3 linked regions of the Saccharomyces cerevisiae S288C genome follow. The protein of the gene in region 1 purifies or fractionates together with the protein of each later gene. This does not show direct contact. Each region holds a gene or a part of one and is shown on either strand. Other genes may lie near its edges. The genes, in order: LEA1, PRP9 and CUS1.

The links.
Region 2: the proteins of LEA1 (region 1) and PRP9 purify together in Saccharomyces cerevisiae (affinity purification with mass spectrometry; 6 studies listed by BioGRID, with this or other methods). This does not show direct contact.
Region 3: the proteins of LEA1 (region 1) and CUS1 purify together in Saccharomyces cerevisiae (affinity purification with mass spectrometry; 7 studies listed by BioGRID, with this or other methods). This does not show direct contact.

What each region holds. Positions count from the first base shown.
Region 1 is NC_001148.4:148,614-151,988, reverse strand, and holds LEA1 (U2 snRNP complex subunit LEA1), read right to left. Parts: upstream 1,376-3,375; coding exon 659-1,375; downstream 1-658. Other genes in the region: pseudouridine synthase PUS1, read left to right, coding at 1-474; THI6 (bifunctional hydroxyethylthiazole kinase/thiamine-phosphate diphosphorylase), read left to right, coding at 1,798-3,375. UniProt on the Saccharomyces cerevisiae protein: Involved in pre-mRNA splicing. Associates to U2 snRNA in a MSL1 dependent manner and is required for normal accumulation of U2 snRNA. Required for the spliceosome assembly and the efficient addition of U2 snRNP onto the pre-mRNA.
Region 2 is NC_001136.10:395,932-399,689, forward strand, and holds PRP9 (SF3a splicing factor complex subunit PRP9), read left to right. Parts: upstream 1-1,605; coding exon 1,606-3,198; downstream 3,199-3,758. Other genes in the region: ATP-dependent RNA helicase DBP10, read left to right, coding at 1-1,273; ARP2 (actin-related protein 2), read left to right, coding at 3,409-3,430, 3,554-3,758. UniProt on the Saccharomyces cerevisiae protein: mRNA splicing factors, PRP9, PRP11, and PRP21, are necessary for binding of the U2 snRNP to the pre-mRNA in an early step of spliceosome assembly.
Region 3 is NC_001145.3:749,293-752,858, forward strand, and holds CUS1 (U2 snRNP complex subunit CUS1), read right to left. Parts: upstream 1,949-3,566; coding exon 638-1,948; downstream 1-637. Other genes in the region: RNT1 (ribonuclease III), read right to left, coding at 1-385; YHM2 (Yhm2p), read left to right, coding at 2,669-3,566. UniProt on the Saccharomyces cerevisiae protein: Essential splicing protein required for U2 snRNP binding to pre-mRNA during spliceosome assembly.

The sequences.
Region 1 (3,375 bases):
CAGAAGATTAATATTCCGAAGGCACCTGCATTAGGATTATTGTTAGAAGCTCCAGTATTTGAAGGTTATAATAAAAGACTAGAACAGTTTGGTTACAAGGCGATCGATTTTTCCAAATATCAAGACGAAGTGGATAAGTTCAAAATGAAGCATATCTACGATAAGATCTACAAGGAAGAGGTGGACGAAAATGTTTTTAATGCGTTCTTTAGTTATATTGATAGTTTCAACAAGGTTACTGGAGCACAGGGAGAAGAAACTGCCGATAAATCGGGACCTGCTGTGCAAAAGAGTATCTTCGAATTCTTGACAGCTAAGGGTATCCCAGGTCTTACTGATGCGCCCGAGAGCAATAAGAAGATTAAGCAAAGAAAAAGAATGGAAGAGGAGGAAGCTGCTAGTAAAAAGGCTGAAATATCCAGCACCACTCAGAGCAACGAACCTGAAGTACAACCGGAAGCGGCAGCTAATTAGGTTGCCCTTTCCTTCTTTCTTACCAACTTTAATTTCTAAGGCATTGACATTGAAATTGACATTGTCCTCTAATGTTTATAGAGCACCATTATTTGTTTTCGTTTTATATATTATTATATAATGGCACAGAATAATTTATAATTCTTTTTTTTTAAGTCATTGAACAGTCGCACTAACCAAAAGATTAAACACCACCAGAGAGTAGTTTTTCCAGCCTGGCAATCTCTTCTAAAGAAGTAGCTTCTGCTAACTGCTTTTTCAATTCATTTCTTCTCTCTACTGTCATCTTACTCACCACCAAATTCATGATCTCCATCGTTTTATCTCTGGATCCATTATCTCTTATTGCAGTATTTACTGGGCCCAACGTATCGCCGTCCGCCTGCCTTGGAAAGCTCATTGCGCTCTTTCTTTCCTCAGCTGTTACGTTTTGAAAGTCTAAAGTCTCTAAATGCGGTACTAATCGAAGTACATGTTCTCTATAATTGGCTAAATGACATACTTGATTCCCTATTAAAGTTAGATTCTTCAACGTCCTGGGCGCTCTACGCAACCTTTGAAGATCTTCAAACCTTCTTATGCTGTTATTCGATAATGTAAGGTTCTGTACATTCATAGGCAATAGGCGACCGTCTACTTCAACGATATTGTTTCGGCCCAACAGTAATGTATGTATATCGTCTCTTCTTGATAGATCTGGAATCATGATAAGGTCATTGTTTGTCAAATCCAAGATGTGCGTAGGTTTGGTCAAATGCTTTAAGCTGGATGGCATGGATTCTGAATCCGTTTCTAGCTGCAGGTCTCTTAAAATAACACATTTATCCACGTTATACTTGCCATTAAAATGATCAACATAATATTGCGGAGCATCAATAACTATGCTAGGGGTGAACTTCATTATTGCTTATAAAAACTGATATTTTCCAAGTCCTGTAGTTTCACTTCGACCTGTTGAAGGCTTGTTGGATGCAGAGTATGCGATTGGCCTAATATAAGTAAATGTCATCTATGATAAGAAAAAGACTAATAGGGCTTTTTCCTATAATTAACTAGGGTCTGTCGAAAATCAACTTTGAAAACCAGGAACAAAAAAAAGATAGATAAGGTTTATTTCACTCTTTTAGGGCAACATAATTTATGCATATTATAGGAAAAAGGCAATCGTAAGAACCTATTTAGCAGGTGTAACAAAATCAATACTACATATATTTATAGCGGCAACGCATCCATTTACTTGTGGAAGCGCCTAGTTTTCGATCTAACCATGGTTCTCAAGACCAAATCACTCTGAAGCTAAATTATTTAAATCAAACAGCGGAAATGGTATTTACTAAGGAAGAAGTTGATTACTCATTATATCTGGTTACAGATTCTACCATGCTTCCACCGGGAACTACTTTATGTTCTCAGGTTGAAGCTGGGTTGAAAAATGGTGTAACGCTAGTTCAAATCCGTGAAAAGGATATTGAAACAAAAAATTTCGTTGCAGAGGCTTTAGAAGTTCAAAAAATATGTAAGAAGTACAATGTTCCACTTATTATCAATGACCGTATAGACGTCGCTATGGCAATTGACGCCGATGGGGTTCATGTGGGCCAGGACGATATGCCAATCCCAATGGTAAGAAAACTTTTGGGCCCTTCTAAAATTCTTGGATGGAGTGTTGGTAAACCTTCGGAGGTAGAGACATTGGCTAAATGGGGGCCAGATATGGTAGATTATATTGGTGTTGGTACTCTTTTCCCTACATCAACAAAGAAAAATCCTAAGAAATCACCCATGGGTCCTCAAGGCGCCATTGCCATTTTGGATGCTTTGGAGGAATTTAAAGCTACATGGTGTAGAACCGTTGGTATTGGTGGTCTTCATCCTGACAATATTCAACGTGTGCTTTGTCAATGTGTTGCTTCAAATGGAAAGAGATCGTTGGATGGTATCTCTCTAGTCAGCGATATTATGGCCGCTCCAGATGCATGTGCAGCAACCAAGAGGTTGAGAGGCTTGTTAGATGCTACCAGATACCAATTTGTTGAGTGCGAGTTAAATAATACATTTCCGACCACAACTTCAATTCAAAACGTTATATCTCAAGTATCAAACAATCGTCCATTAGTGCAACATATCACCAATAAGGTTCATCAAAATTTTGGTGCCAATGTCACTCTAGCTTTAGGCTCATCTCCTATCATGTCTGAAATTGAAAGTGAAGTATCTGAACTAGCAAGAATCCCAAATGCTTCTTTACTGTTAAATACCGGATCAGTGGCACCTATTGAAATGCTAAAAGCCGCAATTAATGCTTATAATGAAGTAAATAGACCCATCACCTTTGACCCGGTCGGGTACAGCGCCACTGAAACAAGGCTCTGTCTAAACAACACTTTGCTCACTTACGGCCAATTTGCTTGTATAAAGGGCAATTGCAGTGAAATACTGTCTCTAGCCAAGTTAAATAACCATAAAATGAAGGGCGTCGACTCTAGCAGCGGCAAAACGAACATCGACACACTTGTGCGCGCTACACAAATTGTGGCATTCCAATACAGGACTGTTGCTGTTTGCACGGGTGAGTTTGATTGCGTTGCTGATGGTACTTTTGGAGGCGAATACAAACTTTCATCAGGAACAGAAGGAATAACCGCTGAAGATCTTCCATGTGTAATAATTGAAGATGGCCCAATTCCTATCATGGGTGACATCACTGCAAGTGGATGTTCACTTGGTTCTACAATTGCTTCCTTTATCGGTGGGTTAGATTCCACTGGAAAACTGTTTGATGCTGTGGTTGGTGCTGTCCTATTATACAAATCAGCTGGTAAGTTGGCTTCCACCCGTTGTCAAGGAAGTGGTTCATTCCATGTCGAATTGATTGACGCATTATATCAATTATTCCATGAA
Region 2 (3,758 bases), on another chromosome or scaffold:
GATAGATGAAGGAAAACCGGAATATCAATTTCAACCCCCAAAGCTTTCTTACACAAAAAGACTCGTTCTAGGTTCATGTCCAAGACTGGATGTTGAAGGCTTAGGTGATCTTTATAAGAATCTGATGTCCTCTAATTTTGACCTTCAGTTGGCGAAGAAAACAGCCATGAAGGCAGAAAAACTTTACTACAGAACACGCACTTCCGCCTCCCCTGAATCTTTAAAGAGAAGTAAAGAGATCATTTCTTCTGGCTGGGATGCTCAAAATGCATTTTTTGGTAAAAATGAAGAGAAGGAAAAATTGGATTTTTTGGCTAAATTGCAAAACAGAAGAAACAAGGAAACGGTATTTGAGTTCACCAGAAACCCAGACGATGAAATGGCAGTGTTTATGAAAAGGAGAAGAAAGCAATTAGCGCCAATTCAACGAAAGGCGACTGAAAGAAGGGAACTATTAGAAAAGGAAAGAATGGCTGGTCTTTCACATTCTATCGAAGATGAAATTTTGAAAGGTGACGATGGTGAGACAGGTTACACCGTGTCAGAGGATGCCTTAAAAGAATTTGAAGATGCGGACCAATTATTAGAAGCACAGGAAAACGAAAACAAAAAGAAAAAGAAACCGAAGTCTTTTAAGGATCCAACTTTCTTTTTAAGTCACTATGCGCCAGCTGGTGACATACAAGATAAACAATTACAGATAACCAATGGGTTCGCTAATGATGCTGCTCAAGCGGCTTACGATTTAAATAGCGATGATAAAGTGCAAGTTCATAAGCAAACAGCGACCGTAAAATGGGATAAAAAAAGAAAAAAATATGTTAATACTCAAGGTATTGATAACAAGAAATATATTATTGGTGAAAGTGGCCAAAAAATCGCGGCAAGCTTCAGGTCTGGTAGATTTGATGATTGGTCGAAGGCAAGAAATTTGAAACCATTGAAGGTAGGTTCGAGAGAAACAAGCATACCATCTAACTTGCTCGAAGACCCTTCACAAGGTCCTGCTGCAAATGGTAGAACCGTCCGTGGGAAATTCAAGCATAAACAAATGAAAGCGCCTAAAATGCCAGATAAACACAGAGACAATTATTATTCGCAAAAGAAGAAGGTGGAAAAGGCTCTACAAAGTGGAATTTCCGTCAAGGGATATAATAACGCTCCGGGTCTGCGAAGCGAATTGAAGTCCACTGAGCAAATTAGAAAGGACAGGATTATAGCAGAGAAAAAACGTGCGAAGAATGCTCGTCCTTCCAAAAAGCGTAAATTTTAGATAGTTTAAAACCATCTAGATCTACAGATATATAGTTTACATATGTACCATAGCAAGAAAACAAAAATAGATAGCGAGTCCGTTCTTCATAATTCTTTGTAGTTCTTTGTGATTTCAGTATTTTGTCGATGTAAGTCATGTTCAATATTTTTTTTGTAGCGCATTTTATTCTAACTTTCCGATGAGGCAACAAAGAAGTGTTAAGTATCGGCTGACGAAGTGCAATAAAAAGTACTTAGTTATACGGTAGATCAAGAACCTTCGGTGAGCCAAGCGAGGGTGTATACATTCATTTAATTTTGCTTTAATAGGAGTAGGAGGGCATCATCTCAATGAATTTACTTGAAACAAGGAGGTCCTTGTTGGAGGAGATGGAGATTATTGAAAATGCCATAGCAGAAAGAATTCAGCGGAATCCAGAGTTATATTACCACTATATACAAGAATCGAGCAAGGTGTTTCCTGATACTAAACTGCCTAGATCATCGTTGATTGCAGAGAATAAAATATACAAGTTTAAAAAGGTTAAGAGGAAGAGAAAACAGATAATTTTGCAGCAACATGAGATAAATATTTTTCTTCGAGACTACCAAGAGAAACAACAAACTTTTAATAAAATCAATCGTCCAGAAGAGACACAGGAGGATGACAAGGATTTGCCTAATTTCGAAAGAAAACTACAACAGCTAGAGAAGGAACTGAAAAATGAAGATGAGAACTTTGAATTGGATATCAACTCTAAAAAAGACAAATACGCTTTATTCTCATCTTCTTCTGATCCATCGAGGCGCACAAATATATTGTCTGACAGAGCTCGAGACCTAGACTTAAATGAAATATTTACTAGAGATGAGCAATATGGTGAATATATGGAGCTGGAACAATTTCATTCTTTATGGTTGAATGTAATTAAACGGGGCGATTGTTCACTGCTTCAATTTCTCGACATCCTAGAATTATTTTTGGACGACGAGAAATATTTGCTAACCCCACCGATGGATCGCAAGAATGATAGATACATGGCCTTTTTGCTAAAGTTGAGCAAATATGTAGAAACTTTTTTCTTCAAAAGTTATGCTTTGCTTGACGCTGCGGCAGTTGAAAATCTAATCAAATCTGACTTCGAACATTCATACTGTAGGGGATCTCTTCGGTCCGAGGCAAAAGGTATCTATTGCCCTTTTTGTTCGAGGTGGTTCAAGACATCTTCCGTTTTCGAAAGCCATTTAGTAGGGAAAATTCATAAGAAAAATGAATCTAAAAGAAGAAATTTTGTGTACTCTGAATATAAACTGCATCGGTATTTGAAATATTTAAATGATGAATTTTCTCGAACGAGAAGTTTTGTTGAAAGAAAACTGGCATTTACTGCAAATGAAAGAATGGCAGAAATGGATATCTTAACACAGAAGTATGAAGCACCTGCATATGATTCGACGGAAAAAGAGGGGGCCGAACAAGTGGATGGTGAGCAGAGAGATGGTCAACTGCAAGAAGAGCACCTCTCTGGTAAATCGTTTGACATGCCATTGGGTCCGGATGGATTGCCTATGCCATACTGGCTATACAAACTGCATGGGCTTGACAGAGAGTATCGCTGCGAAATTTGTTCGAATAAAGTTTATAATGGGCGACGCACTTTTGAAAGACATTTCAACGAAGAAAGACATATTTATCACTTGCGATGCCTTGGTATCGAACCTTCTTCAGTATTCAAGGGCATAACCAAAATTAAGGAGGCACAAGAGCTCTGGAAAAATATGCAGGGGCAGTCACAGTTGACATCTATTGCAGCAGTTCCCCCAAAGCCTAATCCTTCACAACTAAAAGTTCCTACAGAATTAGAACTAGAAGAAGAAGACGAAGAAGGAAATGTAATGAGTAAGAAGGTCTACGATGAACTTAAGAAGCAAGGTTTGGTGTGAAATCTCTCTGTGATATGTATATTTGTTTGATAGATAGCAGTTGTATGTATTTATACTATTCTTAGTAATGACCTTATTACCCGTCTTGTAGAATTGAAAGGCGAAAAACAATTTGAGGACCCATATAATGGAAGAAAACGGACGTGAAAGTTAAATATACGTACCAGAAGACAAATCACAGTAATAAACTAACAAAACTATATAATAATAATGGACCCACATAATCCAATTGGTATGTTGTTGATATTTTTAGTGTTTGTGGAGGCAATTGAGCTCGGTGCCCCTTTTGGCTTTGCCTCTTTTGCATTTTAGTTCTTTTACCCCTATATTATTAATACTAACCATCTCGATATAGTCCTTGATCAGGGTACTGGTTTCGTCAAAATTGGTCGTGCTGGCGAGAATTTCCCAGATTACACGTTTCCTTCTATTGTTGGTAGACCCATCTTGAGGGCGGAAGAACGTGCCAGCGTTGCTACACCATTAAAGGACATTATGATTGGTGATGAGGCAAGTGAAGTTCGCTCTTATCTGCAAATATCTTATCCTATGGAAAACGG
Region 3 (3,566 bases), on another chromosome or scaffold:
TATCAAATTCATTTTCATAATCAGTAATTTCTGTCAAAATTGCGTCTTTTTTAAGATCATGTAAGGTTTTTAATTCAGCTGCCAGTTTTAATTGATAACGTGATAGAGAAGGAAGTATCTGAACAGGCACTCTATCTTGATTGTTAACGGCTTCATTGTAAGCTACCAAATTTGGTGAAAGTTCAATTATTTTATTGTAAGACTCCACCAATTTTGTCACAGCATGTTCTAGTTGAATCACCTCAAGATATTTGTAATTTGATATCTTAAGGTTGCCTTTCAAAAGCGTCTTGGTATTGATATTTTCGCGCTGCTGTGAACCATTTTCGTTATCTAGTTTATTATCATTCTGGGTTTTCTTTTTACCTGCTACTTTTGAGCCCATTGTTTTGAAAAGCTTGTAAATAGGACAGTTTTGCTCTCTTCTATATGCGCATTTACTTGCCTCACTTTGATCGAGCAGGATTCTCCTGAGAGTGACTATATGACCTGATAATGAGATAAATTTTGCGATGAGCTCATGAAAAATTTCAGCATGGTTTAGGGCCGCATTTAAAAAAGAAAAAAACTCGTACGTGAGAAATAGTACCACATGTAAAATTTTGTAAAACTGAAGTACCTATGCGATATTTAGTAGTTATTTCAATACAGTATATAGTTGCTTCTCCGATTCCTCTTCGTTTCTCTCAAGTTTTTCTTCTGCGCTTGTCACTTCGGATATGTCTTCCTGGAAGTGATCTAACTTATGCTCTACTTCATCATCGATTTTGTCATCTTGGCGCCCATTTTCCGCATTCGCCTGTGTATCCTCTTTTGAATTTTCAAATTCAGGGGTTTCAAATGAGATCAATGCGCCAAAATAGTTTCTACCCTGTTTCTTGGACCTTGAATGGTGATTAGGGATTATTTTTCCGTAAACGTCGCCTTTTAAATTCGTTATATCCCAATTCAAGCCGGCAATTTTCAGATCAGGATATCCCGTAGGTAATCCAATGTCTTTCATCTTCATACACCATGGTGGTAGTTGACCTTCGGGTAAATTCATTATGGCACGAAGCTCTTGGCTAATTCTCCCCGGTCTCTTATGATCAACCATTCTTTTCCAGTTCGTTTCCTCGAAAAGATTCCTATTTTCATAATAGACGTCACCGAAGCATAACAAATGGTCAGGTTTCCAGTTGGCTCCTATCTTGAAAAACACATCGTGTAACTTCTTGTAATCCAAATCCAAGGCGCCCATTTTCGGCTGCACTCTTGCTCTTGAGGCCTCCTTTAGTGACTTTTCATCTTGACCATCCAGTCCGCTTTGCGGAAGCGTCGATCTCATTTGTTCTATATTTGTCTTCTTGATAATGTCAGGAAGTTCAAAAGGTCTTTTACCTAACAGAGAACGGCCAGATAGATATTCCTTCTTGGACTGCCAGTGGCTTGGAACAGGAATGACATTTTTGGTGCACTTAATTGACGCTAGTAAGCCTGGATATCTTGCGTCACAATCGTACCATTCTATAATTTGAGGATACGGTACCTGGCTTTTTAACTGCGAAAGTGAAGGTTTTTCAGTCTTCCTACGTTTTCTTGCCGATAGATGCTCCTCAATACCATCCGAGGGTGTATCCTCCAATTCATCTTCTGCTGTATGCTTTCTGTTCATAACTGGGTTTTTCTCAACAATAACGACATGATTGTTCTTTTCATCTTTCGTGATTTCCTTCGGCGTATCATTCTCTTGCACTTGAAATCGTTGTAAAACGTCTTTGAACTCTTTTTCTAACTTCGCATCCACTACCTTATTCGTCTTTCCTTTGCTGTTAGTCACCCCACCCTTTTTCTTTTGCTCAAGCCTTCTTGCATCAATCATGGCGGCGATCTCAGCCTTATTATTTACCACAGACGCATTCTTATTTTGGTTATTTCCGGAACGCTTCCTACTTTTGGTTCTAGCCATTTCACCACTATCTTTATGATCTGATGCTCTGCCTATAGATATATACTCTGTATGCTACTGCCTTCTTAATACCTTTCTAAACAATACCAATATACTGTATTGGATTTCTATATGGTTGAAAGTTATTATTCTTGCAATTATAGCCCTGTAATGAAGCTGCGTGATTGGACCTGTGCCCTCTTCTTCCATTACTTACCCTATCACTTTTCTTTCTCAAGACCTAGGTCCTGTCGGCAAATTCCGCTGCAATAACGCGAAGATCATGACTTTTTTCACTCAGAAGGCAGAGAATCACGATTGATAAAGATCACGCAAAAAAAAAAGATGATTGGCTAAATGCATAGGGCGACAAACATGGGCCCTTCTTTTGCACTCATGTTTTAGCTTCCTTTGTCCCATTGTGTAAACTTATGACAAGATATCGCACTCTAAAAAAAAAAAAGAAAAACGCATTAGCCTCTTGCATGGATCTTACCTTCTGTAACATTTATATATCTCGAGAAATCTACGGACATTTAAAAAACGCTGTCAATACAATCTTCTAGATATTCGGATTTGAATTTTGCAAAAAGTCCGAAGCTGCCCACCTCAAGTCATTGTTTCAACTCGCTTACGGTATATATATCTACTTTCATTGAGATATAAACAGCGCTGATACAATCTTTTTATATAAGTCTTTTGTACAAATAAAGCTAGGAAAAGCCCGACGTCATTATAGCTATGCCATCTACCACTAATACTGCTGCAGCAAACGTAATAGAAAAAAAGCCAGTCTCGTTTTCTAATATCCTATTGGGTGCCTGTTTAAACTTGTCAGAGGTGACTACATTAGGGCAACCTTTGGAGGTTGTTAAGACCACAATGGCTGCAAACAGAAACTTCACATTTTTAGAATCTGTTAAGCATGTCTGGTCAAGAGGTGGTATCTTGGGTTACTACCAAGGTTTGATTCCATGGGCATGGATCGAAGCCTCCACTAAAGGTGCTGTGTTGCTGTTCGTGTCAGCTGAGGCTGAGTATCGTTTCAAAAGTTTGGGGTTGAACAACTTTGCCTCAGGTATATTAGGTGGTGTCACGGGTGGTGTCACTCAAGCCTACTTAACCATGGGGTTCTGTACCTGTATGAAAACGGTGGAAATTACAAGACATAAATCTGCCTCCGCAGGTGGTGTCCCACAATCTTCTTGGAGTGTGTTCAAGAATATTTATAAAAAGGAAGGTATTAGAGGTATTAATAAGGGTGTTAATGCTGTTGCTATTAGACAAATGACCAACTGGGGTTCTCGTTTTGGTTTGTCCAGACTAGTGGAAGATGGTATCAGAAAGATCACCGGGAAAACCAATAAAGACGACAAGTTGAATCCGTTCGAGAAAATTGGTGCCAGTGCTTTAGGTGGTGGTTTAAGTGCTTGGAATCAACCAATCGAAGTCATTAGAGTTGAAATGCAATCTAAGAAGGAAGATCCAAACAGACCAAAAAATTTGACTGTTGGTAAGACATTTAAATACATCTATCAATCAAATGGTCTAAAGGGTCTTTACCGTGGTGTCACCCCAAGAATTGGTTTAGGTATCTGGCAAACTGTCTTCATGGTTGGTTTTGGTGATATGGCGAAGG